Diceros bicornis minor: one gene and its partners. The protein of the gene in region 1 purifies or fractionates together with the protein of each later gene. This does not show direct contact. Links are inferred from orthologs where the notes say so. Each region holds a gene or a part of one and is shown in the gene's direction. Other genes may lie near its edges.

What was found. Proteins that work in one complex are often made in the same cells at the same time.
Region 2: the proteins of protein POLR1D (region 1) and UXT purify together in Homo sapiens (affinity purification with mass spectrometry; 3 studies listed by BioGRID and IntAct, with this or other methods). This does not show direct contact. The link is inferred for Diceros bicornis minor from reciprocal best matches to the Homo sapiens genes POLR1D and UXT.
Region 3: the proteins of protein POLR1D (region 1) and POLR2H purify together in Homo sapiens (affinity purification with mass spectrometry; 4 studies listed by BioGRID and IntAct, with this or other methods). This does not show direct contact. The link is inferred for Diceros bicornis minor from reciprocal best matches to the Homo sapiens genes POLR1D and POLR2H.

What each region holds. Positions count from the first base shown.
Region 1 is NC_080748.1:10,914,698-10,924,489, forward strand, and holds the start of protein POLR1D, read left to right. Parts: upstream 1-4,812; 5' UTR 4,813-4,870; coding exon 4,871-4,896; intron 4,897-5,863; coding exon of another isoform or gene 5,864-6,239; exon of another isoform or gene 6,240-9,792. Other genes in the region: DNA-directed RNA polymerases I and III subunit RPAC2, read left to right, coding at 4,871-4,896, 5,864-6,239.
Region 2 is NC_080781.1:41,408,863-41,418,704, reverse strand, and holds the start of UXT (protein UXT), read left to right. Parts: upstream 1-4,956; 5' UTR 4,957-5,017; intron 5,018-5,099; exon of another isoform or gene 5,100-5,194; 5' UTR 5,195-5,203; coding exon 5,204-5,301; intron 5,302-6,276; coding exon 6,277-6,358; intron 6,359-6,504; coding exon 6,505-6,572; intron 6,573-6,848; coding exon 6,849-6,956; intron 6,957-9,701; coding exon of another isoform or gene 9,702-9,765; intron 9,766-9,842. UniProt on the Homo sapiens protein: Involved in gene transcription regulation. Acts in concert with the corepressor URI1 to regulate androgen receptor AR-mediated transcription. Together with URI1, associates with chromatin to the NKX3-1 promoter region.
Region 3 is NC_080754.1:39,333,420-39,343,641, reverse strand, and holds POLR2H (DNA-directed RNA polymerases I, II, and III subunit RPABC3), read left to right. Parts: upstream 1-5,336; 5' UTR 5,337-5,458; coding exon 5,459-5,531; intron 5,532-6,503; coding exon 6,504-6,587; intron 6,588-6,670; coding exon 6,671-6,764; intron 6,765-7,773; coding exon 7,774-7,857; intron 7,858-8,794; coding exon 8,795-8,912; 3' UTR 8,913-9,163; downstream 9,164-10,222. UniProt on the Homo sapiens protein: DNA-dependent RNA polymerase catalyzes the transcription of DNA into RNA using the four ribonucleoside triphosphates as substrates.

The sequences.
Region 1 (9,792 bases):
ACTGTTTTTGTACTTTCTGAGGAAAAGAAACATATGAGAGGAAAGCTAAAGGGGATTTATTTTGTAAATCTCCCCGGTCCTGTAACAGGGTCATTTTAGGCCTGGCCAAGTCTTCTACAACTATAATTCTACACACAAGATATATATATACACACATATATACACAAATATCTTGCATGTTGAATTACACATATATATACACATACACATATATTTTCAACCAACACTGTTTTCTAAGTAGAATGGAACCCATGAAGTGAGACCTTTGATTCTTCTAGAAACTTTGTTGGATTTTGACATAAAAAGGTGGGCCTGGAGTGAACTTTAAGCCCATAAGCAGGGAAAAGTTAAATGACTCTGCATAATAAAATAAAAAATATTTGAATTTTTGGAGGCAATCAGAAAGGAGAGAAAGAGGAGAGAGAGAAGGGCCAACCAGATTATATGAGCCTGAAGTTCCCCTGTAATGGTAGCCAAAATGCATTTTAAGAATAGAGATGCCTAATATTCAACATCAACACTCTCAGGACTGCAATCCCCAAATCTCATAAAGTTTACCACAACGCACAAAGGCTTTAGGTGAACTCTCTTTTTTCTTTTCCATTCCTTCCTCGCTCCTGTCGACACATCTATCCAACAACTTCATCACGGACATCTCAACTATCCAGTAGCACCTCACTGGTCTGCTCCAAATCTAATTACCTTCCTTTTCCCACTCCTTGTTTTTAACTGCCCTTCTCTTATCTCCCAACATTCCACTGCTCATTAATGTCATTATCACTAAAGGAACACCTAATATTTACTGAGCAGTTGTAACGCGCTAGGTCCTCTGCCAAGGGCATTACATGCGTAATTTCATTTGATCCTCAAACCCTACTAGACAGGTACTATGATCATTTCCTAAATGTGAGAAAACCAAAGCTCAGTCAGGATAGTAATTCTAAGAGTAAGTGATGGAATTCAATCCCTGACTCCACAGCCAGCTTAACCAGTACACTCCAATGCCTCAAGTCAAAAAACCTAGGAATCATCCCTAGGAATCATCATTAATCATATCTAGTCACTTACCTATTCCAACCAAATATACCTCCTAAATGCCACATCATCACCTACTTCCACTGCCTTCACAGACAACTAGCATCTACCAAGTCCTTACTATGTGTGAAGCACTATTCCAAATAATATACATGTTTTTCAAGCTTTATCCCCCAAACCCCATGAAATGAAGAACCTGAGGAAGAAAGAGGTTATATAATAAGTGATATAGCCAGATTCAAACCCTGAAAATGTGAATTGAGAAGCCTGAGCACTTAACCCCTATAGTATAAAAGCTCCTACTTTGTCCCCCTACCTCCCATCTGCACCCCCACCATCCTCCAGACCGCTGCAAATATCCTTCTGGAATGCAAATGTTATCACAACATTCTCCTGCTTAAAACTAGCGGCTCTGTATTACTAACTGGCTAAAGTCCGGTTTTCTTAATTTGGCATACAAAATCCTTTGTGTTTCTGTTTAAGTCAGTTCAATAAATATTTGAGTGCCTACTGTAAGCAAGGCAAAGTGCTAAGTGCTCTGAAATGAATACTACCCAGCCCTTGACTACCACTCCAACCCCATACATTGTGTCCTTCAGCCAGAGTAACTAGATGCAGATCTCGTAATGCAACACCCTACATATTAGTCTCTTTGTCTAGAATGTACCTGGAAAATCCCACACCAATTTGAAGAGTGAGTGCCTATGTGGGGCCTTCCCTAACAAACTCCAGGCAGAAATGCTCCAAGTTCCCACAGCACTTTGTTCAGATAACTTTCAGGTAGCTAGTAGTATGGCTCAGCTTCCCAATAAGACTATGAGCAACTTCAGGGCAAGAGCCGAGCCCTGCCGTCAAGGCCTGGCATGCAGTAGGCACTCTATCATTTGCTGAATGAAGAAATAATGAAAAATTTCTCACTTGAGAAAAGGAAAGGAACAAGATACAGAATTAGGAATGTTAACACACAAGTGGGCCAAATTAAAAGTAGTGTTATTCTACTTCGGTTCCGATTTGGCATACATTTTACCCCTATGGGAAAAATCACATGTGGGACTTGGACAAGCTAAAAAGGTAAAACTTTGTTCTTCATGGCTTAACAAAGTTTTGACAGGCCCCAAAAGGATACTAGATCAAAGTCCATTTTCCAAAGGAGTGTGGAGATCGGAATCAAATCCATCAAAGTAAATAAAATTGATCTGAGATCCAACTTCATCAGTGCTGCGTCACAGTACACACAAGAAAAAACTCAAAATCTGTCCCGGGACGAAGGCCAATTTACAATTAACTACTGCTGCTTCAAGAATGTGAAATTCTTTAAGTGAAGGCAGTTCCAATAAACCGAAGCTCACAACTGTTTCCTCCTCCTGCACTGCCACTGCTTTTCACTTAACTTCGTTTCTGGTTTCTGTGATTTAAAAAGAAACATCTATACAGTTAAGCCCGTGCATGAATGTACTGTAGCTCCTGGCAGATACGAACGTCTTGATTTGTAACCTTAAATGTAAACTGAAATATCAGAAGAAACACTACATATAAGTTAAAATTCCTTCGTTTAAAATATGGCATAAAGCTTTAAAAAGCGAGTGATGTATTTCCTGAGTGGTGCTTTGTGTGCAACTGCTTCAAAACCAAGATCCATATTTTGAAATTACCCCCATGAAGAGGTGAAATCGCTCTCCCACCCTCTTTGGCCTGAAGGGAAAGGTGAGAATTCCTAGGCAACAGGCTGGGACGGAGGGTACGATCTCTCCCCATTCCTTTCCAGGGGAACAAGATCTGACGGAAGGCAGCTAGTGTCTCTCATTCACCACAACATACACACAGGAAATAAAAAACTCTTCCCCACCTCTCCCCTTAAAAAAGCAAAGGACGCAAAGATCTGCAACACAGCGGCCGGAACCACCAAATGGTAACAGCCGGGGGCCGCCCACCTCTCCCCGGCGCCTGCCCGGCGGCGAGCACCGGGCGAGGGCAGCCCGTCCCTCCCTCCCTGGACAAGCGCAGCCGGCCCCACACCCGGGTCCGCGTTCCCCGCAGCCCGGCGCGCGAGGAGGAGAGCCGCGCACCGCGGCGGTGGCGCCGCTCGGGCCGCCTCCCCGGGCGCGGCGCTGCCCCACACCCCACCGACGCCCGCACCTGAGGCGGCTGCCCGGACCCGGCGGGAGGGCGCGGAGCGAGGCGGCCAGGCAAAGTTACTCACTGGGAAAGCGCGGCTGCCCGGGGCGCGCGCCGGCTCCCGGCGTCGCAGCACAGCCCAGCTCCGCTCGCCGCGGCCCGCTGAGGGAGTGCGGAGCTAGCCGGCCTCTGCTTCGCGGGGAATCGCCGCCACCGCCGCGGATTTCCTGGCAAGAAGCAAACTCGGGCCAAGACTTCGCTTCTCAACCGCCCCTGCTGCCTTCGCGGGGGCGAGCGCCGGGGCCCAGCCGCCCAACCCGACACGCACCTAGGCCAATCGGCGGCAGCACAGGGCGGGAGATGGGCGGGCCAGAGAGCGGCTTCGCCTATCCGAGGGTTCAGGGGGCGGGCCAGGACGGGCCGTCAGTCCCGGGTTAGAGTGAGCCTGCTCCGCCTCCCGCCGCCTGGCCTCCCCCCCCGCCTCGGGTGTTGCCGCCGCTCGCCTGATTCCCTTGCAGAACACACGCTCGAGAAGTCTCTGCGCTCCCCGCCGATCGCTGCGAAGAGAGCGGAACAGCTGGGGGAGGCAGGGAACATCTAGGGGAATGGGGGTGGGGGGGCGGGTAAGGAGAACAAGTGGCGGAGGAAAGCAGAAGTGTAGGTGTGTTTGACGAGAGGACAGCCGGGGTAGGGTGGTAGGGACAGGGGCTGACTGGGTGAGGGAGGCGAGGGGAGCTGGTGAGCGAGGAAGGGAGAGGGGTTATTAGCAAAGAACACCTGAGGGGACGGAGAGAGGAGCGGTACGAAGGAAGGAGGGCGGAGAGCGAGTCTGGGTGGTGAAAGGTTGCCGAGGCGGGGTCAGCGGCACCTGTGAACAAAGGTGAGCGAGAGGTTCCGCAGGTGAGGAGGATTAAGACGCCGAAAGGGTAAAGGGAAAAGGAAGTCCAAAGGGAAGGAGGACGTACTTCAGGAGTAGAAAAGATCCCAGGAGAGAAAGGATGGGGGCTTCCTTCCAAACTCTCACTCCTCCCCCAAAAGGTAAAGACAAACGCCTGTCTTTTGACCCACTTGAGCTGTGCAGCTAGCTGCAAGATCCCGTATGAGACAAATACCGGCTCAAACCATCCTATTCGGTTGTGAAATTCATCAAGGTGTACTGATCAACTATAGTTTAAGCCTGTCGTCCCATGAAAGCCTCCCCGAGGGTTGGGGTCCCGCCTGGGAGTAACACCATCCCCCACGGGTCTAACAGCAAGTCAGAAAGAGGCCCGAATCCGGCCCTAAAAAGGAAGGTGATTTGGGGGCCACAGGTAAGGCCCCGCCCCCTTCGCCATCACCTAGAGGAAGGTGCCGAGGGCTGAGTTCAGGCGCCCACAGGCCGGTCTCGGCATCGGAGTGGGGCGGGAGCCCGACCCCTCCTCTCTCCCCGCTAGCTCTGCCGGCGGACTTGCTCCGGGAGGGCCAGGTGAGCGGCTCCTGCCTCGCTCCCGCCCTCCTCGCGCCAGGGGCGGGGCATGTGGGCGGGGCCTCCGGTGGAGCCTCCACGCCCCGCCCAGTGGCTGGGCCTTGCCGCGCCGCTGCGGCTCCTCCCCGCTCCTTCCGTTTGCGGCTGCTTCCGTCGGTCGTTCCTTCCTTCCTGCTTCGCCCGCACGTTTCGTGACATGGGGCTGAGCCTCCGGTCCGCCAGCACCACCTGAGGGTCCCGGAAGCCGTCCCCGCCATGGAAGAGGACCAGGAGCTGGAGAGGTAACGGCCGAGGAGGAGGCGGGCGGGCGAGCGGGTGGGAGGAGAGGGCCGCGCCCTGCACCGGGAGCCGGTGGCCGAGGGGCCCGCGGCCGGCCGGGGCCTCAGCCTCCGCGGCGCTGCCTGGCAGCGAGGGCATGGCTGGGAGGGCAGTGGGGGAGAGAGAAGCGGGCGCCTGGGCAGGGAGAGGGTCCCCGACTGGGAGGAGAGGGGTGAAGACGTGGATGTGTTTGAATACAGACGCTCAGTACACTAGATACCAAGACAAGTTGTGAGATTAGAGTTTAAGTCCCCACTCTGCCCACCCCACCCCCCGTTAGAACAGTAAGAGTAAATAACGCTAACGTGTAAAATTACGCACCAGGCCACTGTTCCCCAAGTGATAGCATTGGTGTGCTCAGTCGGGTCGTATTCCCTGTAACTGCGGCCCAAGTGCCTCCTCTGTGCAGACTGCTAATGAAGCCACTGTGCGCTGAGATCTTTCTCCCTCCTGCTTGATTGACTCTTCTCCGACTTTCCCTTCTAGTTTCCTTACGTCCTGCAAATGGAAGCCGTAGTGGGCCTGCACGTTGATAATCTATAGTCTATTTTTATAATAATCTGTGTTTTTATACGCCTTTCAACTCCGTTTTCATCCTCTAGCAGGGCCCTCCCTATTCTAATCCTATCCCTTTCTTATGACTCTACCAAAAGAATATTTTAGCAAACATTTAAGTTTGTGTTTTAAGGAGACTCGCCTTGTGGCCATGTGGACGGTCAAATGGAGTAGGGAGAAACTGGAGGCAATAAATTAAATATTATTGATAGACTATGTGGAGGCAGCAAAATAAGGGGCTAATGCTAATAGTTCTATGTAATTGAAGTACATTAGAGTAATAATGTGTTGCAGTTGTGAAATAGTAAATGAAAAAAGCTAGTTAACAAAACCATATTCAGTATGATCTCATTTTTATAAAAAATATGTGTGTAGAAAAAGATCTGGATTGAAGACCTCAATGGCTGAAGGCGAGAGGAAGACAGCCCTGGAAATGGTCCAGGCAGCTGGAACAGATAGACACTGTGTGACATTTGTATTGCACGAGGAGGACCATACCCTAGGAAATTCTCTTCGTTACATGATCATGAAGAACCCGGAAGTGGAATTTTGTGGTTATACTACAACCCATCCTTCAGAGAGCAAAATTAATTTGCGCATTCAGACTCGAGGTACTCTTCCAGCTGTTGAGCCATTTCAGAGAGGCCTGAATGAGCTCATGAATGTCTGCCAGCATGTGCTTGACAAGTTTGAGGCCAGCATAAAGGAATATAAGGATCAAAAAGCAAGCAGAAATAAATCCACATTCTAGTCACTTATGCATGCTACAGGGAAGACTATCCTCTAGGATATTCTCTTCGTGATCTTGTAAAACCCACAAGTAGAAGTTTGTGGTTACATCATGATCTGTCCTTCTGAAAGGTGTGCTTCTAGGTATTGACCCATTGCCGCTGTTGGAATCCCTGCAAGAACCTTTGTATTGTTCTAATAAATTCCCTCTTTTATTTAAACTAATTTGAGTGGTTTCTGTTCCTTAGTCCTCAGGTTGACTGTTTTAGGGTTTTTTTTCTAGCTTACTTTCTCTTTTTTAATTGAGCCAACATTGAAAGTGAGGAAACTATGAGAAAATCAGAGGCCCAGGCAAGGACTTTGATCAAGGGGATTAAAAGGAATATGCATTCATGGCTATGATTGGGGGAGAGGGAGAGATGCAATAGAGCATGACCCCACATAGACTTGTTGGTTTAAAAAATAAAAGGAGGAAGGAAAGAAAGGTGGGAGGACTTAGCTTCTTGATAGATAGTTTTTAGTAAATTCATGGGAGAATTGCATCCTTTGCTATGATTGGTAGATTGGGCAAGGGTGGGGAATAATTTGAAAGAATTGTGAGAATTCTAGTTTCACATGAGAGTTTTTGGTGGTATCAGGCTCCATCTTTGTGATAGCATTTACAGGATAGATGCCAGTTTACTGCTTTAATTTCAGGACAGTAATAAAATATTTAATCAGAAATGACCTAAGTAGGTCAAGAGAGTTTAATTGTATTACAGAAGGAGAAAACTGGGAAGACCAGATAACGTTTTCAGTCCTTAGGTATCTAAGTATAGCCCAAGGTTACATTAAAAAAGGAGTATTTGAGAAACAGTAAGGACAGGGAGAAGGAAAATTCCATGTGGGGAAAATGATTTTTTTTTTTGGAAAACTTAAAATATTAGTGAATCACGTCTAAGAGCTGTCCTATTTACCTCTTCAGCGTTGTCTCTCATGCCTGTCCTACCCCAACTTGACTCTTAATTCACCCTAATATCTGTCAGCCTTTGAACCTGAGCACACCACCCCCCAGTGCTCTGTCCTTTGGAGCCTTTGTTTATTCCCTCTTCCTGGAACACTCTTCCTTCTGCCATACTCTGGTCTAGGTAAGAACTTACATGTCGGACTTCCTACCCTAGTTTGGGTATTTGTATGTGCTTTCATTATGCTCTGTGTTTCTTGGTTTTGGATTTACTATGCTATTGTTAGTGCTTATGTTGTGTACCCACTATACTAACTTGAGGCACAATGCTTGATAGGTAGTGGATGGTTAGTAAATATTAGATGAATCCATGTCAGTAGTTAAGGCATATAGCCTTTTATTCACTCAAATCAGACCTCTTCTACTAGCCTACCATAAAGCCCGCATTTCCTACACTCAGTCAACTCTTTAGATAAATGTATTTCTGTATTTATTGAGCATTTGGTGTATACCAGGCCCTGGAATAGACATGTTAGTAGATGAGACACAGCTCTTGTTCACATGGAGCATACATTATAATAAGAGTGAAATTTTTTTTTAAAGTTGTAATTCTGTGAAAAAACAAATACAGGGTCAAGATAGAAAACATGAAAGAGGAATCTGCTTTGGGTACGCAAGTTAGGGAAGGTCCTCCAGCGATTACAGGAAGAGAAGGAGTTAACTGTGCCAAAAGAAGAGAGAAAGATTCTGAGGGAATAGCATGTGCAAAGGTCCCGAAGCAGAAAACTGGTGGTTTGAGGAATTAAAGGAATTGAAAGAAAATTTGCATGTCTAGCGTGGTAAGTAAGGAGGACAAGGGCCTATCGTTTGGAGTTGTTGGAGAGGAGAGCTGGGGTGGTAAGTTAGAGTTTGGATTTTAAGTACAAAGGGAATGACATCTGAATACTTTGATTACCGTGTGGGGGAATAGGTTATAGAGAGGCCAGAGTAGAAGCAGAGAAACTGTAAGAGCTGAAGTGGCCTGGAAGGGCAGTAAGCTAGTGATAGAGAAAAGAAGGTGGATTTGAGATGTGTTTTAGAACCAAATTGGTACAGAATTGATAGATCTCAGGAATTGGATGTGGAAGGTGAAGAAACAGAAAAATGACTTGTACCTAGGTTTGGGGCCAAATTACTGAAATGGGAACCTTAAATGGGAAAATAGGTTGGGAGGTGGAGAAGGTGACTGGAATCAAAAGTTCCATTTTGAACGTGGTAGACAGTAGATAATATGAGTTGTAGGCCATGAAAGAGATTTAAGCTAGAGATAAACTTTGTGAGCTCTTGCCATACAGATGATGTAAATCCATAAAAACTGTGACAAACAAGTAGGCCCAAGACCAAGCCCTAGGCAAGCTCAGTATTTAAAGGTTGGGTTAAAAAGGAGCAACCAGTGAGGTGGGAAGAAAGTCTGTAGAAGTCAAGTTGTGGAAGCCAAGGCTTTCAAAGAGGGGAGAATGATGTTGAATGAGTCACATGAGAATGGAAAAATGTCACTTGGAGTTAAACAGGGAGGTCATGGGGCAGTGTGCAGAGTTAGTTTAGTGTCTAAGAAGACTGAACATTAACACTCATTGCACAGAAGAATGCCTTAGTTTGAGTTTTCCAGTAAAGAAAATACATTGTAGGACATTGGAGAGCTAAATTGAAGTGGGAGCAGGTATGAGGAAAGATCAAAGTCATGAAGCAAGGATAGGGACTGTTCTCCTAGGGTGATAGAGAGTCTGGAAAACCAATGTTAAAGTAGGGAAATTAGCACTTGAAGGTGTAAGGAGGCCCTAAAGGGATAAGTAGAAAAGGATCAAAAACTTCTTTGCCTCTTCTAAAATTTTGCCTATGAGTGGTCCTATGGGGATAGTAAACAGGCTTATTTAATGGAGTTTAATACCTGTGAACCAAGACCTGTCAGGAGATGAAAGCAAATTTCAGTTAGTGGACATAGCGGTGTAGAATGATGATAGTAGACTGCAGTAATTAATGTTGTTAGTGCTTATGTATGTGTAATAACAGTACATATGGGAAATGCACGCACTGGTGACCACCCACTGCATCTCATGGCTTCATTGCTCCTAAAAGGATTTATCGCTACTGATCATGTGGCATGCTGTCTTGAATCTGTTTAGGGTAGCCATAAACTCACAGGTTCAAACGAAACACCTTCAGAAGGCAGATGGGTGAAAGGAAAAAATGGAGGGCAAGGCAGGCAGGATAACTAAGAGTCACGGGTATGTGGAAAGAATCTTTGCATGAAGTCTGTGGGAACCTGATGGCAAGCTGAATTGGTCTATGAAAGGGTGAGGGAGAGAGATATAAATCATATATATTTATAAACTGTGAAAAAATAACTTGATCGGTATCTCTGATTTGCTCTCTAATAGCATTTCACTCTAAATAAACTAATATTAATGATTCAAGATCAGAAGTTCTGTTCAGCTGTAAAGTACTATGCCTTCTAAAGAGCCAATTATTAAATAAAGTGATTACATACCAAAGGCTTTTAATATGTAATAGTTTGAGTACTTGCCTAGCACTTCCCATTTGCAAAGCACTTTACCAAGTATTTATAAATTGCATATAGCTGTAACATCTAAGT
Region 2 (9,842 bases), on another chromosome or scaffold:
GACTATAAAAGGGTAGCATGAGGCAGATCATTACAGTGAGAGAATATTTCTGTATCCTGATTGTGGTAGAGCTTACTGAATCTGCACATGATAAAAGAGCGTCAACTATATACACACATTGTACTGATGTCAGTTTCCTTTGTTTGATATAGTACTATAGTTACATAAGATTTAACCATCGCAGGAAACAAGGTGAAGGGTACACAGGACCTCTCTATGCTGTTTTTGCAAATTCTAGTGAATCTGTAATTACTTTAAATTTTTTTGTGTGTGTGAGGAAGATCAGCCCTGAGCTAACATCCATGCCAATCCTCTTTTTTTTGCTGAGGAAGACTGGCCCTGGGCTAACATCTGTGCCCATCTTCCTCCACTTTATATGGGACGCCACCACAGCATGGCCTGACAAGCGGGGTCTGAACCTGGGCCGCCAGCAGCGGAGCACATGCACTTAACTGCTACACCACAGGGCCGGCCCCTAAAAAATTTTTTTTTAATGAAGACAAAATACATTCCTACAGAAACAAAGACTGAGGAAATTCTTTGCTGGGTGACCTGGCTTACAAGAAATAGTAAAAGAAGTTTTAGAATTTTATTTTTGCAACTTTATTATTTTGAGGCCATGTTGTTGGGTCCATACAGGTCCTGGATTATAACTTTCTGGTGAATTGTTCATGTTCTGTTGTATAGATGTACCTTAATTAATTAGATTCATCCATTATTGACAGACATTTAGGTTGTTTCTAATATTTTGCTATTACATACAATGCTGCCATGCATTTTCGGGTAATACTTTGATACATAATGATGCTAATATACCTGTAGGATAAATTCCTAGAAGTGGAATTCCTGGGTCAAACAGTAGGTGTACTTTAAACTTGTAGAAGATATTCCAGATGAAAAAGTTCTGGAGACGGATGGTGGTGATGGTTGCACAACAATGTGAATGTACTTAACACCACTGAAGTACACTTAAAGATGGTTAAAATGATAAACTTTATGTATATTGTACCACGATAAATAAAATAAAAAATTAAAATAAAATAAGATATTCCTATGTGTACTCCCAAAACATGTAACAATATTGGCTTCCCTGTATACCTGTCAACTGTGGCCAATGTGGAGATGAGCCTCTCGGACTCCTCTTCAGGATAGGATTCATGGCCCAACTGCGAGAAGTGTGGTTACTTGAGAGTCTCAAGTTGTTGGCTCTGCAGGGGTTCACCTCAGCTCTAGCACCCAGGTCCCACTATTCTCTGTGTTGTCCCCAGCCAACAAATGAGCAATGCAGTGGTTCAAAGTGCCAGGTGGGACTCCCCTAACAGGCAATCTGCTCTGGAGCTCCCCACTGGGCTAGAGCTGCGACTTTGTCAGGCTGGCATTATGGTGTGAGTGCTCTCTCTGCTCAGAGCTTCTCCCCTTCTCCCCTTTTTCCTCTCACAGATGTCACTGCCCAATAAACCTTCTGCACTTCTAACTCCGAGTATCTGCTTCCTGAAGAACTTAAACTGCAAAACCAACAGTATATTACAAACCTTCCCAGTCTTTTCCAACCTGATAGATGAAAACAGCATTTCATATCTTTATTTTGCATTTCTCTATTATGATTGAGGATTAACACATTTTCATATATTTAAAAACGATTTGTATATCTATGAATTGTCTGTGTAGTTTCTTTTAAATTGTTGGTCTTTGTTTCCATTTCATAGTATTTTCTTTCTTTTTTTTAAATTTATTTCTTTCTTTTATTGCGGTAACATTGGTTTATAACATTGTATAAACTTCAGGTGTACCTCATTATACTTCTATTTCTGCATAGATTACATCATGTTCACCAGCCATACTAATTACAATCCATCACCACACACATATGCCTAATCATCCCTTTCACTTTTATATTGATTTGTAGGAGCTCTTTATATATTAAGTAAACTATTGATTGTATCCTGCAAATTTTTCTTTGCAATTTGGCTTTAACGTTTTTTAAGTTAATTATGTATGCATTAATTTTATGTACACAAATGTATCGATATATTCTCTCATGACTTCAGAATTTTATGTCATGATTAGAAAGGACTTCACTCTAAGAGAATAATAAAAAAAAATATTCTCCCATTTTTTTCTTCTAGCACACTGATGGTTTCATTTTTACATTTAAATCTTTAATCCACCTGGAATTTATTTTAGTGTAGGAAGTGAGGGAGAGTTCTAATTTTATTGTTTTCTAGTGAATGCCATAAAATATTTCCTTCTGCTGATAAACTGGCGTGCTTTTTCCTCATGGACAATCAAATCACATAATTGACCTAATTTTCCTCTTTGGTATGGCTGTAGGAAGATCAGAGACAAATTCACAGCTAAGCACAAAAGTGAATTTCATACCTACATCCCAATTTTCCCTGATGTTAATCTTCTAGTTGCTTTATATTTTCTGTGATCCTACATTTATTTTTCAATTTTATGGGGTATATTCTTATCAGGTTCCAAATATCCAGGGGAAAATAAAGTAGGCAGTGAATGAACAAATTAGCTATAACTCATCTGGGCCTCAGTCATGTCTTGCTCCTCTTGGGTAAAGGCAAGACAGAGATCGACAGAGATCTCTAAGCCAGAGCTGGGGGAGACCTGTGTGGAGGAGGTTGGATGGCAGAGAGAGAAAATACAAATGGAGATATGAAAGACACAGTTTGCCTCATATCTCCCAGAAGCATCAGTCTGAAAATGCCCACCCATAAGCCAGGTAAGAGGTCACCAATGGAAGCCAGGGAGGCCTATGTACTCATAGCCCCAACCTATGTATTGGCGACTGACATGGTTGTGTAGAGTTGACATGATTGGGGTTGCCAAACTTTTTCTGTAAAGGGCCAGATGGTAAATACTTTAGGATTTTCAGGCCATATGGTCTCTTTGGCAACTACTCAACTCTGCATTATAGCATGAAAGCAGCCACAGACAATAAGCAAACAAATAAGCGTTCCAATAAAACCCTTACTATTGGACACTGAAATTTGAATTTCATATAATTTTCACGTCACAAAATATTCTTCTTTTTACTTTTTTCAAGCATTTAAAAAAATGTAAATAGGGCCGGCCCCGTGGCTTAGTGGTTAAGTGCGTGCGCTCTGCTACTGGAGGCCCGGGTTCGGATCCCGGGCGTGCACCGACGCACCGCTTCTCCGGCCATGCCGAGGCCGTGTCCCACATACAGCAACTAGAAGGATGTGCAGCTATGACACACAACTATCTACTGGGGCTTTGGGGGAAAAAAATTAAAAAATAAAAAATAAAAAAAAATGTAATTAGTATTCTTAGATTGCTGGCGTAGAAAAACATCAAGGGCCAGCAAACTGGGGCCATAGATTGCTGACCCCCGATGTAGAGCTTCGATGAGGAAGTTTGTCATTGGGAGTATGTGTACAATTGTCACTTACTACTTGATTTACAACGCAGTGACCTCCCTTAGATCAATAAATTCTACTTCTAAAAATTTATCACAAGGAAATAATCATGGTTGCACTCAAAAATTTGAAAGCAAAGACTGCTATCCCATCCTGGATTATAATGATGAAAATAACTGGACACAACCAAACATCCAAACCAAACATCCAATAACAGAGGAGTGGCTCAAAAATTTGAGGCCATCTAAAAGACGGAATGCTATGCAGCCACGTCAACAGTTATTGTATGGTCCGGAAAGAGAGAAAGCAAATGCAGTCAAATACTAATATTTGGTGAATCTAAGTGAAGGCTATATGGGTGTTCACTGCCAGCTTTTCTGTAGGTTTGAAATGTAAAAATAAAGTTGGAAATGCTTTTAAAAAGTAAAAAATGTTTTTTGTGAAACTTAATAGGCTTTCACAGACCCATCTCCAGCTCCTCAGAAACTGTGTTCTCCGTGTTAAAGATAATAAATGTAACACCCGCTTTTCACAGGAAAATGGTATAGATTAACTCGGTAATATCTGTCTACCTACTTATTGTCTGTTTCAATCACACTAAACGTAATTTTAACTACATGAAACATGAGAAGATTTACAAAAAAAAAATTTGTTTTTAAGTCACGTTTCCTTTACAATCATCTTGCTCTAAAGGCAAAGAAAAGCTTGACTTGCTTAGGTTTTCAGCACTTGAAAAACAAAAACTTGCTTTTACACACATTTTGGGGGATCCAGCATCTGGGTTCTCCTTCAGGCTCAGACTTGGACTTGCTGGGTTAGATGCTATTATTTTAAAATCTAACATGGGAAATAAATTCATTCAATAACTTGAGATCATAAAAGTAAATTAATGAAAAGCTCACACATTTAAATAAAAACATAGGAACTATTTCTAACTACAACATAGCCAACCTGGGGCGATGGACTTCAGCGACCCTCCATTTGACGCCCCTTTTAAATGAGGTGATTAGACACAGTGTGTTATCAATCTCTGCTTGAACCCCAGTTATGGATTGTGGGCCACAGTGCTGGAGTCATCAAAGATGAATTTTAGAAATTCTGTCTCCGTTTAAAATTTTTTTAATGCTCACATTCATTCCCATTACCAGGAGTCAAACTCAAACCTCCCGTGTGAAAAACCAAAATCCAGGACGACAGATCCTAGGAATGTACTCCCCTTTTGACAGAGCAGAGCCATAATCAATTCTTGCCCCCCTGCTTCCGAAACTCTGACTTTTAAATACTACTAAACGCTTTACTCTCTCTCTCCACCTCCACCTGTGCGTCCCGCCTCCCGCAGATCCGCCAAATCCCATTAAACCCCAGCCCCACCAGCCACGCACGATCCCCATAGGCTCGGCGCGCAGTCCCTGTTCCCACGCTCGGCAGCCTTCCGTAACCTCATGGGATTCCGTAGAGCCCCGCCCTTCTCTTCTCCGCCGGCCCTGCTGGTCGCTTCCGTTCAGGACCGCCCCTCCACACCTGGCTATTTGGTTGGCCAGCGCCCTCGTCGTACGTCATTCATCCGCGCCACCCGGAAGCCGCGGTTCATACCAATCGTTCTTATTGCCGGCGGCTCTAAGGTAACGGCTGTGTTTGGGTGGCCCTGGGTGGCGGGAGCCCAGAGTTGGGAGGGGCAGAAGGCGGAACCCCCGGCATGAGCCGGACGAGCCCACTCCCAACACTGAGAGGGTGCAGATGTAATGCACTTGAGGCCAAACTGAGTGGTCAACGTGGTCTTCCCTCTCCTTATTCCTCAGGAGCCCATCATGGCGACGCCCCCTAAACGGCGGGCTGTGGAGGCCACGGGGGAGAAAGTGCTCCGCTATGAGGCCTTTATCTCTGACGTGCTGCAGCGGGACCTCCGGTGAGTGACAGCGTGGGGGGCGGGGCGTTTGGAACGTTGCACGTGGTGGGCGGGGCGTTTGGACTCAGGGCGTAGCCTTCTGATTGGTGGGCGAGGCGTTCGGAGCCCGGCCCCGCGCGCCTTCCGAGCGGGAAGGAGGGGCGACATCCAGGCTGGGACGTGGCGGGCTTAGTGGAAGGTATTTCTGCGCAGGCGCGGCCTCTGATGGCACTAAATGGTTGAGAGCTAGTTTTCCGAAGCCAGAGTTCTCAGGTTTGAATCCTGGTTTGGCCACTTCGCCATCCGTGTGAACACGTTGTACCTCGCCTCACCTTTCTGAGCCTCAATTTTCCTCATCTGTGAAGTGGGGCAGTTGATGGAACCTTCCTCATGTGGTAGTTTTGAGTTTTCAATGTGTTGAGTCCTTGTAAAGAGTTTAATGTAGATACTAGAGGCTCAATGAGTATGAAAAATTGTTATTACGATCATTATTAATCTGAGCGGGAAGTAGAGTATTCAGAACTAGGATTATGAGCATCCTAAAAGAGATGGAGGGTTTTTCTAGGGTGAGAATGAGACTTTCTAATTGGAGAGAGGCATTGGGAGTAGAGTATAATAATAATACAAATAAATAATAGTTACATATATAGAGCTTACTATTTGGCAGGCACTATTCTAAGTGCTTTATAGTAAATACTCATTTAATCCTCCTAATGACTGTATGAGGTAATACTTGTCATCCCCATTTTACAGATGGGGAAATTGAGTCCCGAAGAGGTTACTTACTTGCCAAAGTCACACAGCTAGTAAAAAGGAGAGCCTGGATTCAAACCCCAGCAGGCTGACCCAGAGTCCGAATCTTAACTTCTGCACTAAAATGCCTCTTTTAGGGCATGGTGACATGAGGGTCTCAGAGGGTCATGATATGAGGTATTCCAAGAGGGACAGGGCTTCCTGTTGGTCACCATTTACTCTTGTCCCATCATGTCCCAACAGAAAAGTGCTGGACCATCGTGACAAGGTATATGAGCAGCTGGCCAAATACCTTCAACTGAGAAATGTCATTGAGCGACTCCAGGTGAAGACACCAGGGTTAGATACCATTGTGTGGGAGGTGGGAGGGCAGGGGAGGGAGACAGGCAGGAGGAGATACCCCAGACCAAAACCTGCACCTGACCTACAAATTGACCATTGACCCCTACCTCTTTTTCCCTGGCGCTACAGGAAGCGAAGCACTCGGAGTTATATATGCAGGTGGATTTGGGCTGTAACTTCTTTGTTGACACAGTGGTGTGAGTGTCTACCCGTCCCTCTGAGCCCACAGAGTTCAGCTCCCCCCCCTTCCTTCAGTCAACAAATGTTTTTCTGAGTATTTGCCCTGTACCAGACACCGTGCTAGGTGCTGGAGAAGTGACAGTGAATAAAATAGGACAAAATCCCTCCCTCCTTGAGCTGCAATTTGGGGAAGGTGGGGGGAGGGGAGTAAAAAAAAAATCTTAAATAAACTGTATGGTTTGCTAAACAGTGGTAAGGACTTCCCCCACTTCCTCTAACCACTGTTTCCTCAGCCCAGACACTTCCCGGATCTATGTGGCCCTTGGCTATGGTTTTTTCCTGGAGTTGACACTGGCAGAAGCTCTCAAGTTCATTGATCGTAAGAGCAATCTTCTCACAGAGTAAGTCCATTCCATGAGGATAGTGTCTACAAACACCACCATTCGCAACACCCTTCCCCCCTGCTCCATGGCTGCCTGGGATGATACTTAGGGATCCATCTCCCCTCCTCCTCAGGCCTAGGGCTGAGGAAAGTGGGGATGCAAGGCTCAGCCCCAGGTATAGCACATAATAAGCACTCAGTAAATGTTCATTCACACAAACATTTATTGGGCATCTGCTGTATGCCAGGCTCTGTGCTTGGCAGTGGGGAGGCAGCAGTGAACAAGACAGAAGGTTCCTTGAAGGCTTAAGTTATAGAAGGACTGTACTGTTATACACAAGCACAGTTTTGACCAGATCCGGGAGGTCTCACCCTTTAAATCAGTAACGATAAAACGAGTTACCTCTGACTTCGCCTCCTGCTAATTCTCCCACTCGTTCGCTCTGCTCTCACTACATTGACCTTCATGGGCATCTTTAAACACTCCCAGGATGATCCCACCTCAGGGCCACCCCACTGGCTGTTCTGCCTGCAGCACTCTCCCCAGATGCCTGCATGGCTTCCTTTCTCCTCACTCAATTGAAGTCTTGCTTAAATGTCACTTCCTCAGCGAGGCCTTCTGTAACCTAACTTTAAAATTGCAACCCCCGGTACTCCTGATTCCCCTTCCTTGTTCTACTTTTTCTTTTTTCCATAGCACTTGTGTCCTCCTCATGTTTACTGTGTAATTTACTTCTTTCTAATGTGCATTGCTTTCTTCCATTAGGCTATAAGCTTTATAGAGGGAGATATGTTGTCTATACCCCAAGTGACTAGAATAGTGCAGAGCATATAGTAGGCACTCCGTGTTTGTTGAATGAATTTAAAAAGGTATGCTGGAAACAGATTGAAGCAGATCTCTGTTGGTGGTGATGGGGAGGTAATGTGGAGGGAAAATGTGGGCTCTGGTTGAGTTTAAGGTTTTGTTAAGGGAAGGGGAATTGGGAGTGTAGATGCAAGGTTTGAAATGTAGCTCAGGAAGGCCTCCTAGAGGAAGTGACATTTGAGTCACTTGGTTGAGTGAACAAGCCATGGGGCTATCTGGGGAAGAGGATTCCTGGCAAGAGGACCAGTGTGCCTGTTGTGTTAGAGGAACTGGCAGGAGAGGCGAGCGTGGCTCGGCTGGAGTGCGGGAGGGAACGCTGAGCATTACACTTCAATTAACATCTCACAAGTGAATACCACAGATAGAAAATTCCTTCTGGGTTATATTTATCTTTATCCCTACGAATAAAGATTTCAGAGTTGTTTCTTCCAGAGTTGCCTCCCTTAGGGTTTCAGTAATTCTTTTCTTTTCTAACCTTTCCAGAGTTTCAGTGTTAGTAGACCCAAAAGAGCCTCAGACCTGCTGAGATTTCTAAATCTTAGATTTCTCAATTCTTAAGTTGTCAGTGCCTGTCTCCTTGTCTGGTCTTTTTAATATATTGACCTGGTCTATTAGTGTGATGAGAAATGTGATTGAATCTCTTATTACTTTATTATAATTAATAGGACTCCCTAGAAGTTTAATCTTTCTAGGAAATGAGGATTCGAGTCTGTGTAGCTCACTCTCCTCTTTAAAATACTTGGTGACTTGGGATACACTTTGAACTAACTTTCTTTCAGATTATTTTATGTAACCAAACAATCTGTCAGTCCTTCCTGTTCTTAGTATATTTCTTTGTTTGGGGAATGGGAGGATCAGGTCTCTGTGTATATTCTTTCCTGATTACACAGAAAGGAGTACATATCCACACTGCCTTACGTATTAAATCAGTAGCAATAAATTAAACGTATCCCTTTTGTGTTACAACTAGCATTTGGTGAACTTTCTATTTTTCTCCTTTTTTTTAAGTGTTGAACTCATAGCCTTTCATAGACTAAGCTTGTACCATTAACTAATTTTGTTCTCTTCTTTGATTTCAAATTGTCCCTTAGAAGCTGATCAAGATCATTCATCTGTTCTCTGAGGGGTACCCCTGATATTCTTGCAAGCATTCTTGCTCTCTAGCAACAACACCATGCTCCATTTGTTTCCTGTCCTTAAACGTAGACTCAACCACCTTTTGAGGACTTCAGGTTCCTTTGAGTGGAGTAGTCATTCACTTATTCATTCAGCATACATTGGGTGCCTACTATGTGCCACACACTATTTTGATTCTCCAGCCACACTGGTCTCTTTGCTGTGCCTCAGATATGCCAGGTACACTCCCACCTCAGCGCCATTGCTGCTGCCCTGTGTCTGGCACACTCATCCTCCATATAGCCACATGATTTGCTTCTTCATCTTAAGTCTTTACTCAAATGCTTCTCAGTGAAGCCATCCCTAATCACTCTAATTAGAGTTGCAGCCCCCACTCCTGCACTCCTTATCCTCTCTTAGCATTTAATTTTTTCATTGTACTTAGAACCATCTGACATACTCTATATTTTGTTCCATCATTTGTCCCTCTTAACGAGAATTTGAGCTCCATGAGGCCACGATTTTTGTTTGCTGTGTTTGCTGCTCTCTCCTCAGTACCTAAAACTACCTGGCATAGAGTAGAGATTCAAGAAATGTCTTTGAATCAGTGCAGTCCAGATGATGGCCAGGCATCTCTGCACAGAAGCAGGTCAGCTAGTAGGATGTCCTACCACCTGCTCTGGGGAAGTGATCCAAGATGGAGGTAGTTCTTGAAGTGATGAGGAATCATCATCCTCATGATCATAAGTGGGGTCCACTTCGCCCCTTGTTTCTTTTCTCCAGGCTCAGCGACAGCCTCACCAAGGACTCCATGAATATCAAGGCCCATATCCACATGTTGCTAGAGGTGAGAGCAGCTCACCCCACTCTCAGACTCTGTCTCCAAATGTTTAGGGTGGTGACTTGAGGAAGGGAGGGGACTAG
Region 3 (10,222 bases), on another chromosome or scaffold:
CCTCTTTGCCGAGGGGCATCCCACTTCCCAGGGCACAGGTCAGCCCGATGACCTTAGCTACAAAGGTCTTGAGAGTGAGGTATTCTTTCAGCACCACTCCCCGCAAGATGGTCTTCATCTCGGGGATGCCGGACCCTGGAGAGGGCACAGTCCCAGGAGAGTCATCCAATGTGCCTGTTTCAGGAGGTCCCACCTTTGCCCTCCCCTGCTCTCCTATTGTACCGACAGCCTGAGGAGCCAGGATCTGTGTGAAGCCGGCTGAGAAAGTGATGAGGACGATGGGGTAAGTGACCCAGGCCAGGTACTGGAGCAAGAGGTTGGTGTTCAAGCCCCGGGACATCCACTGCTGAGCTGTGGGGAGGAGACGTGCTGCTGGCCCCCGATGCGCACACCCAGTCCCCGCCTGGCCACTGGGACATACCAATATAACAAGCTGCCCCAGGGAATATCGCAGAGAGCCCGAGGACAAGGGGTAGGGAGGGGGCCCTGGAGGGCATTCACTGGGACAAAGATCACCATAGGTAACAGAGTCAGATGGAGAGCGGGGGCAAGAAGTTGTAGCCTAGGTGAGTGGCAGTGAGCATGACTGAAGATGGGGCAGTCAGGCCGGGGAAAGTGGTCAGTGGCCAAGTAGCCAAGAAACTTGGACAAGTGTGGCATGGAGGAAGCAGGTTGGCTCTTCCCAGCCCGCCCCCTGCCAGCCCTTGTCCTTACCCTGCAGACAGGCAGCGATGGCATAGTCCATGGCCCAGCTGACCAGCGCCATGAGGAGCCCCAGCAGGACCAGGAAGATCCAGTCTTCACCAACCCTGGACACTAGGAACTTATGGCAGTGTACAGAACAGACTGGAAGCAGGGAATGGAAGAAGGGGGAGGCTGGCACAAAAGTGCTTTTACCCTATCCCCCCTCCACCCCCCAAAGGGCAGCTCTAATGGCCTCTGTCCCCCTCAGCACGGTACAGCCAGGTCCCCCGCCCCAACCCAGATCTCACTGTGGCATCGGGTGCAGCGGCTCTGTCTGTATTCCAGGAGCTCCGGGGGAGTCCGAGGGGAAGGCGGACCCCTCCAGGGCTCCGGCCCTCCCAGGCGGATCCGAGCAGCTTCCTCTTTGGCAAAGGCCCCCAGCTCCTGAGTATAGCGGCCATACATCTGAGCAATAGGGAAGGTGGGGGTTAGCAGATGTGGGCTGAGTGGTAATGCAGGGAGGGCCCCTGGGGCCTCAACTCCCTTTCTCCCAGTCCCCACATTATATACCCCTCCTGAACCCACAGTTCCCACTTTGGCTTGGGGTGTGGGAACAATGCACATTGCAGACTGTGGGGGCTGTCCTGGCTGGAGTGATGGGGACAGCCAAGGTACAGGGACACAGCTCTGGGGGTGGCAGAATAATCAGTCCTCTTCTCATAGGCCTGGGGGGGAGCACTGAGGAGGAGTGGGAGGCAAGGCCCTAGAGGAGGAAAAGATGGAAAAACCTAAGGCAGTCTGAGAGTGGGAGGAGGGAAGGTCAGAGAAGAAGGGATGGTCAAGGGCGTATGGGTAACAATAAGGGCCTCATGGAGCTGGGGGCAGCTGAGTTGGGCCTAGGAGCAGGCGGGGCCCCAATCCTTATCACGTTCCTGCTGGGCCTCTGGCCTGTGACCGACTCAGCTGCACCCATCCCGCCCAACCTAATCCCCTTGTCCCCATTCTCCACCCCCACCCCCCACCAGCCTGCCAGCCCAGCTGGGAGTGGAAAGTCTCTCTGAGTAGGTGGAGAGAGCTCAGTGGCCTTGACCCCACTCTGGAGCTGCCCTGAGTCCAGTGGTGGGTTGGGGGACAGCAGAAGCTGATGGTTGGGCTGTGACTGTGGATGCTGGGGTGATGGGATTAGACCTGCCAAGCTGGGCGTGTGTTGGGGGGTGGGGAGGAGTAGATTCCGGCTGCCACCCGCAGAGCTTCGGGACACAAAGGGCTCCTGTTGGGGCTGGGGTTGTGGGGGGGGAGGGAAAGATAGAGACAGAGAGAGAGTGATAGAGAGCGAGGAAGGGAGGAAAGAGAACATAGGAGAAAGAGGGGGAAAGGAGAGGCCAAGGGAAGGGGCAGAGGAGAGAGAGAAGGAGAGGGGAAGAAGGGAGGAGGAAAAGAGGAGAGAGTAGAGTATAAAGAGGTAGACACACTGTAGGAGGTGGGAGGTGAGTGTGTGAGAGAAAGACAAAGGGATGGGAAGGAGCAGGGGGAGAGGCTGGAGCAGAGAGTGCCTAGGAGAGAGCTTGACCCTGAGAACTCAGTTCAGACATACAGACCAGGCGAAGGAGATGGAGATGTGGCTGCGCAACAGATGGATACCATTTCAGTGGCCAGGTGCCTGGCTTCCTTGACCAATGCCCCATTCTCAGCCTGGGCAGACTGACAGACACCTCCCACCCCTTGCGAACGCTTGCCCCTCTACCCTTGCTCCACCTCCACCTCTGCCACCTCTTCCTGTCATCCTGTTTCATCCAGTCACTCTCTGGTAACTGGGCACCTGCCAGCCTCAGTTAAAGCCCAGGCCCCATCCTCCTGGAGAGGTTTCCTCCCTGCCTTCTTCCTGGGCAAATTCCAACCCAAGCTGGTAAAAAAGAAGCCACAGGGCCCACTCCTTTCCCTAGAGATTGGGTCTCCCACCCCAGCGACATAGGAAGGTGCAAAAGTCTTCTCAAACACTAAGTTACAGCGATGGCCATGAGTCAGCTCAGAGCCCCAGGACCCCTGCTTCTAATAAGGTCAAGGGACACCCCTGGGATAGGTGGGGGCTGGATACCCAGTCAGCATGGACAAAGGTCCCAATTCCCACACCCATTCCTGCTTGACCCATCCTCCCTAAAGCTCTCTTCCTCCACGGGGCAAGCCACCTTTTTTCCAGAGAAAAAAGGGGTTCCTGTCAATGCTGGGTTGCCAGCCCCCAGGGGTAAGGGCTGGGGCCAGGTTAGGGTCTGATGATCTTTCTACACACTCATTTCTGTGTCTAGCACCGTGCCATGCACATAGTGGGGACAGAGGGAATGGAGAAAGGAGTGTAGAGAGAGAATGTTCAAGGGTGTGAGCGGCGCTGGGGAGGGGTACTGGGGTGCTGAGACTTGGGCCCAGGTAGTGAGGGGAAGGAGCAAAGAAAACGTGGGCGGGGGGTAAAGAGAAGGACACCTGGGACAAGCCCCTGATATCCTTGTCCCCTGCAGGCCCCCAGCCTCAGCCAGAAACCTGAATGCAGCTTTCCACTCCTTAGCCCTCCAGCCTCTCTGGCCCTCGAGCTTCAGTTTCTCCAGCTCAGAAGGCTGGGGTGAGGTTAGGGTAGGACCGCAGTCCTCGCGCTTCCAAGGGTAACCAGGAGCAGCGGTTCCGGAGCGCACTCCTCAGGGCTCGGCTCGGCTTCACTTACCAGGGTCTGCTGGTAGTGCAGCGCCCGCGGCTCCATCCCTTCCGCCGCCGCTGCCGCCGCCGGCGCCGCCATCTCCGCGCACAGCCCTCTGGCCTCCCGCGGCGGCTCGGGCTCCGGCCCGGACTCGGCTCCCGGCCCGCAGAGCCCGCGCCGGTACCCGTCCCGTCCCCGCAGCCCGGGAGGCCGAGCGCAGAGCGCCGCGGGCCCCAGGCGGGCGCTGCTGGCGCAGCCACCCGCTCGCGTCCCGTCCCAGGCGGGCGGGCCGAGGGCGGTGCCCTCCGTGCTGCTCCGCCCGCCGGCCCATTCACAGGGGCCGGCCCAGCCGGGCCGGGGTCTGCGATAGGGCCGCCTCCCAGGCACCGGAGAGGCGGCAGGGGGCGCTTGGAACGGGCGAGTCCTGGGGCCCTCTCCGCGGAGGCCGGGGGCTGAGAGGGGCGCCCGGGACCGGAGCGGGGGCGGGCCGGCTGGCACGTGGAGGGGCCGGGCGGGGTCTGCGGCTCCCGGCGCCCGGGCGGGAGGGGCTGGAGACGCCGGGGCTCAGGAGGGTCTGCGGCCAGGGTCTGCAGAGCCGTCTAAATCAGACTCTTCGGGCCCAATCTCTCTCTCAGGAGTGGCGCCCTCTCTAGCTTCTCTGGAGGGGCCAGCGGCTCAGAGGGGCCTGGCAAGACCCCTCTGCTCCCATGGGGGTGAGAAGCAAAGCTGGGGGTACTCGGAGGGGGACGCCAGGCCCAGAAAGGGGGGCGATGCTCAGAACTGAGACCCTCGGTCTCTCTCATCCGCTCCCTTCCTCCTTCCCTTCTTCTCTGTTCTTCCAGGGAGGTGCACCTGGAGCAATCTCGCCTGCCGGCTGTGCGGGGGTGGAGGTGGGGAGGGAACGCGAAGGGGTGAGGCCCGAGGGAAGGGAGGTCTAGGTGCGAGGAGGCCGCTCCTGGGAGGCGGGCGTGGGGGGACAGAGGTCGCTTTTCCCTGGCAGGGACCAAGGAGAAACCCGAGTAGCTGCTGACGTCTCGCCACCATGGGGGAAAGGCCTGCTGGGGCTCTGCGTTCTCTATCAGGGTCCGGAGAAGGACAGAGCAGAGAGCAGAGTGAGCACAGAGTGGGCAGTGCCCAGGAAGGGGGCAGTGTGAGAGGAGCCAGCACCCAAGGGGAAGGGGCAATGTAAGGGAAGAGCTGGTATCCGTGGGAGAGGACAGTGCCAGGATGAAAGGGCACGTAGGAGATCAGTGTCCACAGGGACAGTGCAGTGGTGGCGGAATGGGCAGCACCAAGATGAAGGGGCAGTGCTCAGGAGGAGGGCAGTGTGATGTGGCTAACGCCAGGCTAAAAGGGCGGCGTGGGGGAAGGAAGCAGTGGCGGGGAGTGTGCAGTACCAGGGGAGGGGACAGTGCAGGCTTTTCTCTTCGCCATAGTGACATCATGGCAAATTCCCAAACTGGGTGGACCTGGCTCGGGTGACATCCAGCAGAGCCGAGCTGGGCCGGGCCGGCCTGGCGGGGCCTCGGTGCCAGCTGGAGGAGCTGGGTACAGCCCCCTGCCGGGCCCGCGCTCTGGAGGCGTGGTTCTGCTCCGCCTGCCCTCGGCGCGGACTGTGCCCTCGGCAGGCGGGCGGACCGGCAGGGTAGGGCTAGGGCCAGGCTTCTCTGGGCCAAGGATCAAGGTCCCTGGCTGGGGTAGGCCCGCACGCATTCCAGTCTTCCGGGGCACTCCGAAGAGGGCGCAGTAGAGCCTCAGCAGCCAGCGAGAACCGGCGCCACCTCGGCGGAAGGTGGGACCCGTTGTGTCCCCGCCCTGGGGCGGAGTTATCTGGACCTGGGACCCGACCTCAACGCCGAAGCCTCTCGGAAGCAATCGTTCGGGGAGGACGTTAAGAAGCCCCGAGAGCAAGGCGGCGGAAGTGGCTTCATCCCCGTACGTCCGTGCGCATGCGTTATTCTTTTCCTTTGCCGCCGCTCTGTGGGCGCTACCTTTTCCGTCTCCGCTTGTATTCTCCACGCGAGGGGGTGTGTGTACACCTAGTCGTGGTCGCGCCCTCAGCCTCTCTCCTATTCTTGTGGCTCGCTCACCATGGCGGGCATCCTGTTTGAGGATATTTTTGATGTGAAAGATATTGACCCGGAGGGCAAGAAGTTTGACCGAGGTAAGCAAGGTTTGTAGGGGCAGTTTGGGGTAAGGGGCCAATCTCCTCCTCGGGGACACGCCCCTGGGCCCCTTGTCCACCCAGCTCACGTGGCCTGCTCCTACCGGCAGGTCCTGATGTAGGGACCTCCCTGAGGAAACATTTTATGGACGAGAAAACGGAGACTCCTAGCTCTCCCTGGCTTCACACACGCTGTGCCGGGTGCCTGGGGGGCCCTTTCTCACGGTGCTAGTAAACTCGGGGCATCTTTCTAATCACTCCCCACTCTGTACTAGGCGCTGTACTGTGCACCTTACACACTCTTTTGTCTTACTTATGCCTTTCAAGAGTCTCCATGAGGTAGACGGTGTCTTACCCATTTTGCTCAGAGAGGTTAAGTAACCCACCCAAGGCTGCACAGCGAGTAATGCGACTTCAGAGCCTGTATTCTTGTATTGCCCTTAGAATCTTTAGCTCTTTGTGAACTCCTCTGTGAGTTAGAGTTGACTGCTTGATATGCACCTCTTTATTCTGTCATTGATCAATAATTGTTTCTCCTTGGCGTCTCTTCCTTTGCCTGGAGACTGAGATGTTTTTCAAGAAAAACACTAGTTCTTACATGTGTCGATAATCCCCTCAGCACGGCGCCTGGCACAGAAAGATGAAACCTCTGGATGAATGAATAACTTGCCCTAAGTCAGGTTGTTTCTTAATCACTTAGGTAGGCCTAGAACCTGGATATTACTTGTTGCCAGAGGACCTTTGATTCTTTTCCAAGGATTCTGTCCACCTGCCATGGTTTTTCTCCCCTTTCCTTCTTGCATATCTGGTTCTGATTGAGCCTGCGCTCTTATGAGAGCAGACGAGAGGCCAGTGGATGCAGACTGGGTTCGACTGAGTGTTTTATTGCATACAGTCCCCCAAAGTGGGATCTGCAGGATCTGCCTCGGGCCAGGCAGTTACCTCTGTCACTCTTTCTCTACTTCCCTCCAGTGTCTCGACTGCATTGTGAGAGTGAATCTTTCAAGATGGACCTCATCTTAGATGTGAACATTCAGATTTACCCTGTAGACTTGGGTAAGTGTTGAACACAGACAGTAGCAGGAGGCTTTTTGCCATTTTGGCTGTTCTTCACCCTCAGATATTGCTGTTATTCTCAGGTGACAAGTTCCGGTTGGTCATAGCCAGTACCTTGTATGAAGATGGCACCCTGGATGATGGTGAATACAATCCCACCGATGACAGGCCTTCCAGGTGAGGGAGTGGAGAAAGGAGTACCTGAAATATGCCTGAGGACTGGGGCCGGCCCGGTGGCATAGCAGTTAAGTTCCCGTGCTCCGCTGCGGCGGCCCGGGGTTCGCAGGTTCGGATCCCAGGCGCGGACAGACGTACTGCTGTCAGGCTGTGCTGTGGCGGCGTCCCATATGAAGTAGAGGAAGATGGGCACGGATGTGAGCCCAGGGCCAGTCTTCCTCAGCAAAAAGAGGAGGATTAGCAACAGATGTTAGCTCAGAGTTAAACTTCCTCACAAAAAAAAAAAAGAAATATGCCTGAGAACTAAGTAGATAAGGCCTGTATAGAAAGACCCGTATTTAATTCATGGACTAAATGATTATCAGCAGAATCTGAGTAACCCTAAGGAAATTGGTGCACTGAAGAATTCAGACAACCAGGTGTTTATCCAGAGCAGTGATTACATGCTTGTGAGTTGTAGCTTTTTGGTGGCTGAGGAAATGACCACTGAGTGACCTGGGCTGTGTGGGCCTTGAATCTTGGGAGGGAATTTGGTGTGACGGAAAGGCTTTTGGAGCCCCACTGAGTTCAGATCTCAGCCCTACCACTTATTTACTGAATAACCTCCATGTCTTTCAGCCTCAGTTTCCTCATCAGTAAAATACAGATGGTCATACCTAGCTCACGGGGTTGCTGTGAGGACTAAATGAGCTCGTGTTTGGAAGGTGCCTGCTGTTACAATGCTGGCACTTAGTTCAGTTACCATTTTTAAAGGGCCTTTTATTATTAACTACTTTTTTTTTAGGTGAGGAAGATTGGCCCTTAGCTAACACCTGTGCCCATCCTCTATTTTGTGTGTGGGACACCGCCACAGCAGGGCTTGATGAGTGGTGTTGGTTTGAGCCAGGGATCTGAACCTGTGATCCCCTGGCCGCCAAAGCGGAGCGCGCCGAACTTAACCACTGCACCACTGGGCTGGCCCCCGTTGTTAACTACTTTTAAGAATAACTTTGCCACTGTTGTTCCGCAGGGCTGACCAATTTGAGTATGTAATGTATGGGAAAGTGTACAGAATTGAGGGAGATGAAACTTCTACTGAAGCGGCAACACGTCTGTAAGTTCCGTGGTCTCGTGAAAACCCTTCCCTCCGCCCTGTTCTGAGAATTTGGGCTATGCTCTGAAAATTCAGGCCATGCTCATGCTTCCTGTGTTGGGTCCCTCTCCCCAAGCACCTCAGACCTAGGCGAGACCCAGAAAGAAACTGTTCTGGGAGCAGTTTCCAGTCTGAAATGTAGGCTGCTCACTTAGCCCTTTGTTAGGACCCCAGGGCCCGGTGGTCCATATGGAAACTGGTCATCTGGCTGTGTGAAGTGCAAGGGAAGATTGCTTCCCCAGGAACAAAATGCAGCATTAAGTGATTAAACTGCCAGTCTTTTTTGTTTTTGTTTATTTGTGTGTGTTTTGCTACTCTGCAACCCGATCCCTCTTTCTTTGCTTTCCCTTCCCAGCTATTTTTTCTTTTCTTTAAAATCTTATTAAAACAATATGTGTACTTTGTAAGAAATCTGAAAAGCGGAGAAGTACTGTGAAGAAGGAAAAAAGGTCACCTATAATTCCATACCCAGAGGGAACCTTTTACGTAAACATTTTTGAATATTCTAGGTTTTTTTCCCTGTGTACTTTTTTCTTTGAGATCATATTGTTTATTACAGTGTTTTCTTCTGCTCTTTTTGCTTAAAGTTATGTAAAAATGTTTCCCCATGTCAGTTTAAGGCTTTCTCTAAACATTTTAATAGCTGCATAACATTCTAGTAAATGGATGTATCTTAATGGATTTGACCATTTCCCATATTCTGGGCATGTAGTATTTTCCACCTTTGCTAGTGTAGAGAACACTGCCTTGCACATACCTGTGCATTTATCTTTGTCTGAATTTTGGTTCCTAATGACAAAGGACTAGAAGGTGCCTCTTTTTCTTAGGCTGGGGTGGAGAGCTGCTGAGTAGCAGCTGCTCCAGAGCTCAGATTCATGGGATGGGTCTTCTGTTTCAGCTCTGCCTATGTGTCCTATGGGGGCCTGCTCATGAGGCTGCAGGGTGATGCCAACAACCTGCATGGATTTGAAGTGGATTCCAGAGTGTATCTGCTGATGAAAAAACTGGCCTTCTGAACCATCCCGGAAGCCAACCTTGCTGCTTAGTCTCTCAGGCCACAGACAGTCGTTCAAGCCTGAGTGGAGTTGCTGTTGTTCACCTGTTCGGGAGGTGCTGGCTTTCTGTCCACTGTGGCTGCATCTTTAGGTGGTCTGGACTCAATGGGAAACTGACTAACCTGTAAAAGACCCAGTGGGAGAGCTTAAAATGAATCAGAAGTTGTTTTGTGTATGTGATTTTTTTAAATTAAACTTTACTTTTTCAGACACCCTTGCCCTTTTTAAAAAAAATTTTTCCATTTACTTTAAAACCATTTTTCCTGTTCTCCTATGGTATATTATGTTTCTGGTCCACAGCCAGATGATGACATGTCAGTGTAGGATCTAGCCCAGCCTTTTGGTATTTGGGTTCAGGGTTATCTTAGTCTCCTGGCTGACTCTCCCCTACATTTACCTTCCAATGGGATTTTTCTGTCTGGGAGAGAGAGTGTTGTGTTTTTGGCTCCTGAGGGCACCCCAGGCCCGGAAGATACCACCCATTTGGCATAGAATTTTGAATTGGCAAGGAGCCCTGCTCGTGTCCTTCCAACACTTTCAGTCTCTTAGGAAGTCAGATCACATTGACTTGAATGAGTCACTTGCATAGCCTGGAAATGTTCATTTTTATGGAGGCATTGGGTGGAGGCTTTTAGACACAGGCATGGGACACAACTATGAAGAGAACAGGAAGAGTGGATTTGGTGTTTATGGAAGTAGGCAGAGGAGCTAGCTCTCTGCTCTACATTCTAATGGTGACCTGGAGAGGGGGTAAGCGGTGGTGGTTCTTACCAGTGACACTGAACAGGGAGCTGCTGTACAGACCAGTGAAGTGGACAGGGCAGCAATACCAATGAGGTTGGCAGTCCAGTGCCAGTGCCCAGGACAATACAGCAGCCTGACTGTGGTCACTAACTTAAAAATGAGGGAAGAACAAAGTTGAAATAGTAATGCTTACAAGGACTCCAGTATAGGAGCTGTGTCTTCAGCCTGGCATTTGAGGTTCCTGAGAAAGTATACAGGACTCTGATTTCCCCTAGGAAATTTGGAGTAACAATCCAAAAAGATTGTGTGTATTAAGCAGTTGTCTTTTTTGATCTCCCGGTTTTGCCATGGGAGCTCGTCCGCCTGCTGGGATGCCTGGGATATTTCCTTCCCCATCATTTTCAGGTCTTTACATGAGGTGTTAGAAATAGTGTTTAGGGAAATGGGTTGAAAATGAATGGCCTCTGCAGGGGGGAGGAAAAGGTGTTTCTTTTGCTTTACTGTGGGTGGATTGGGGGGAATAAGAG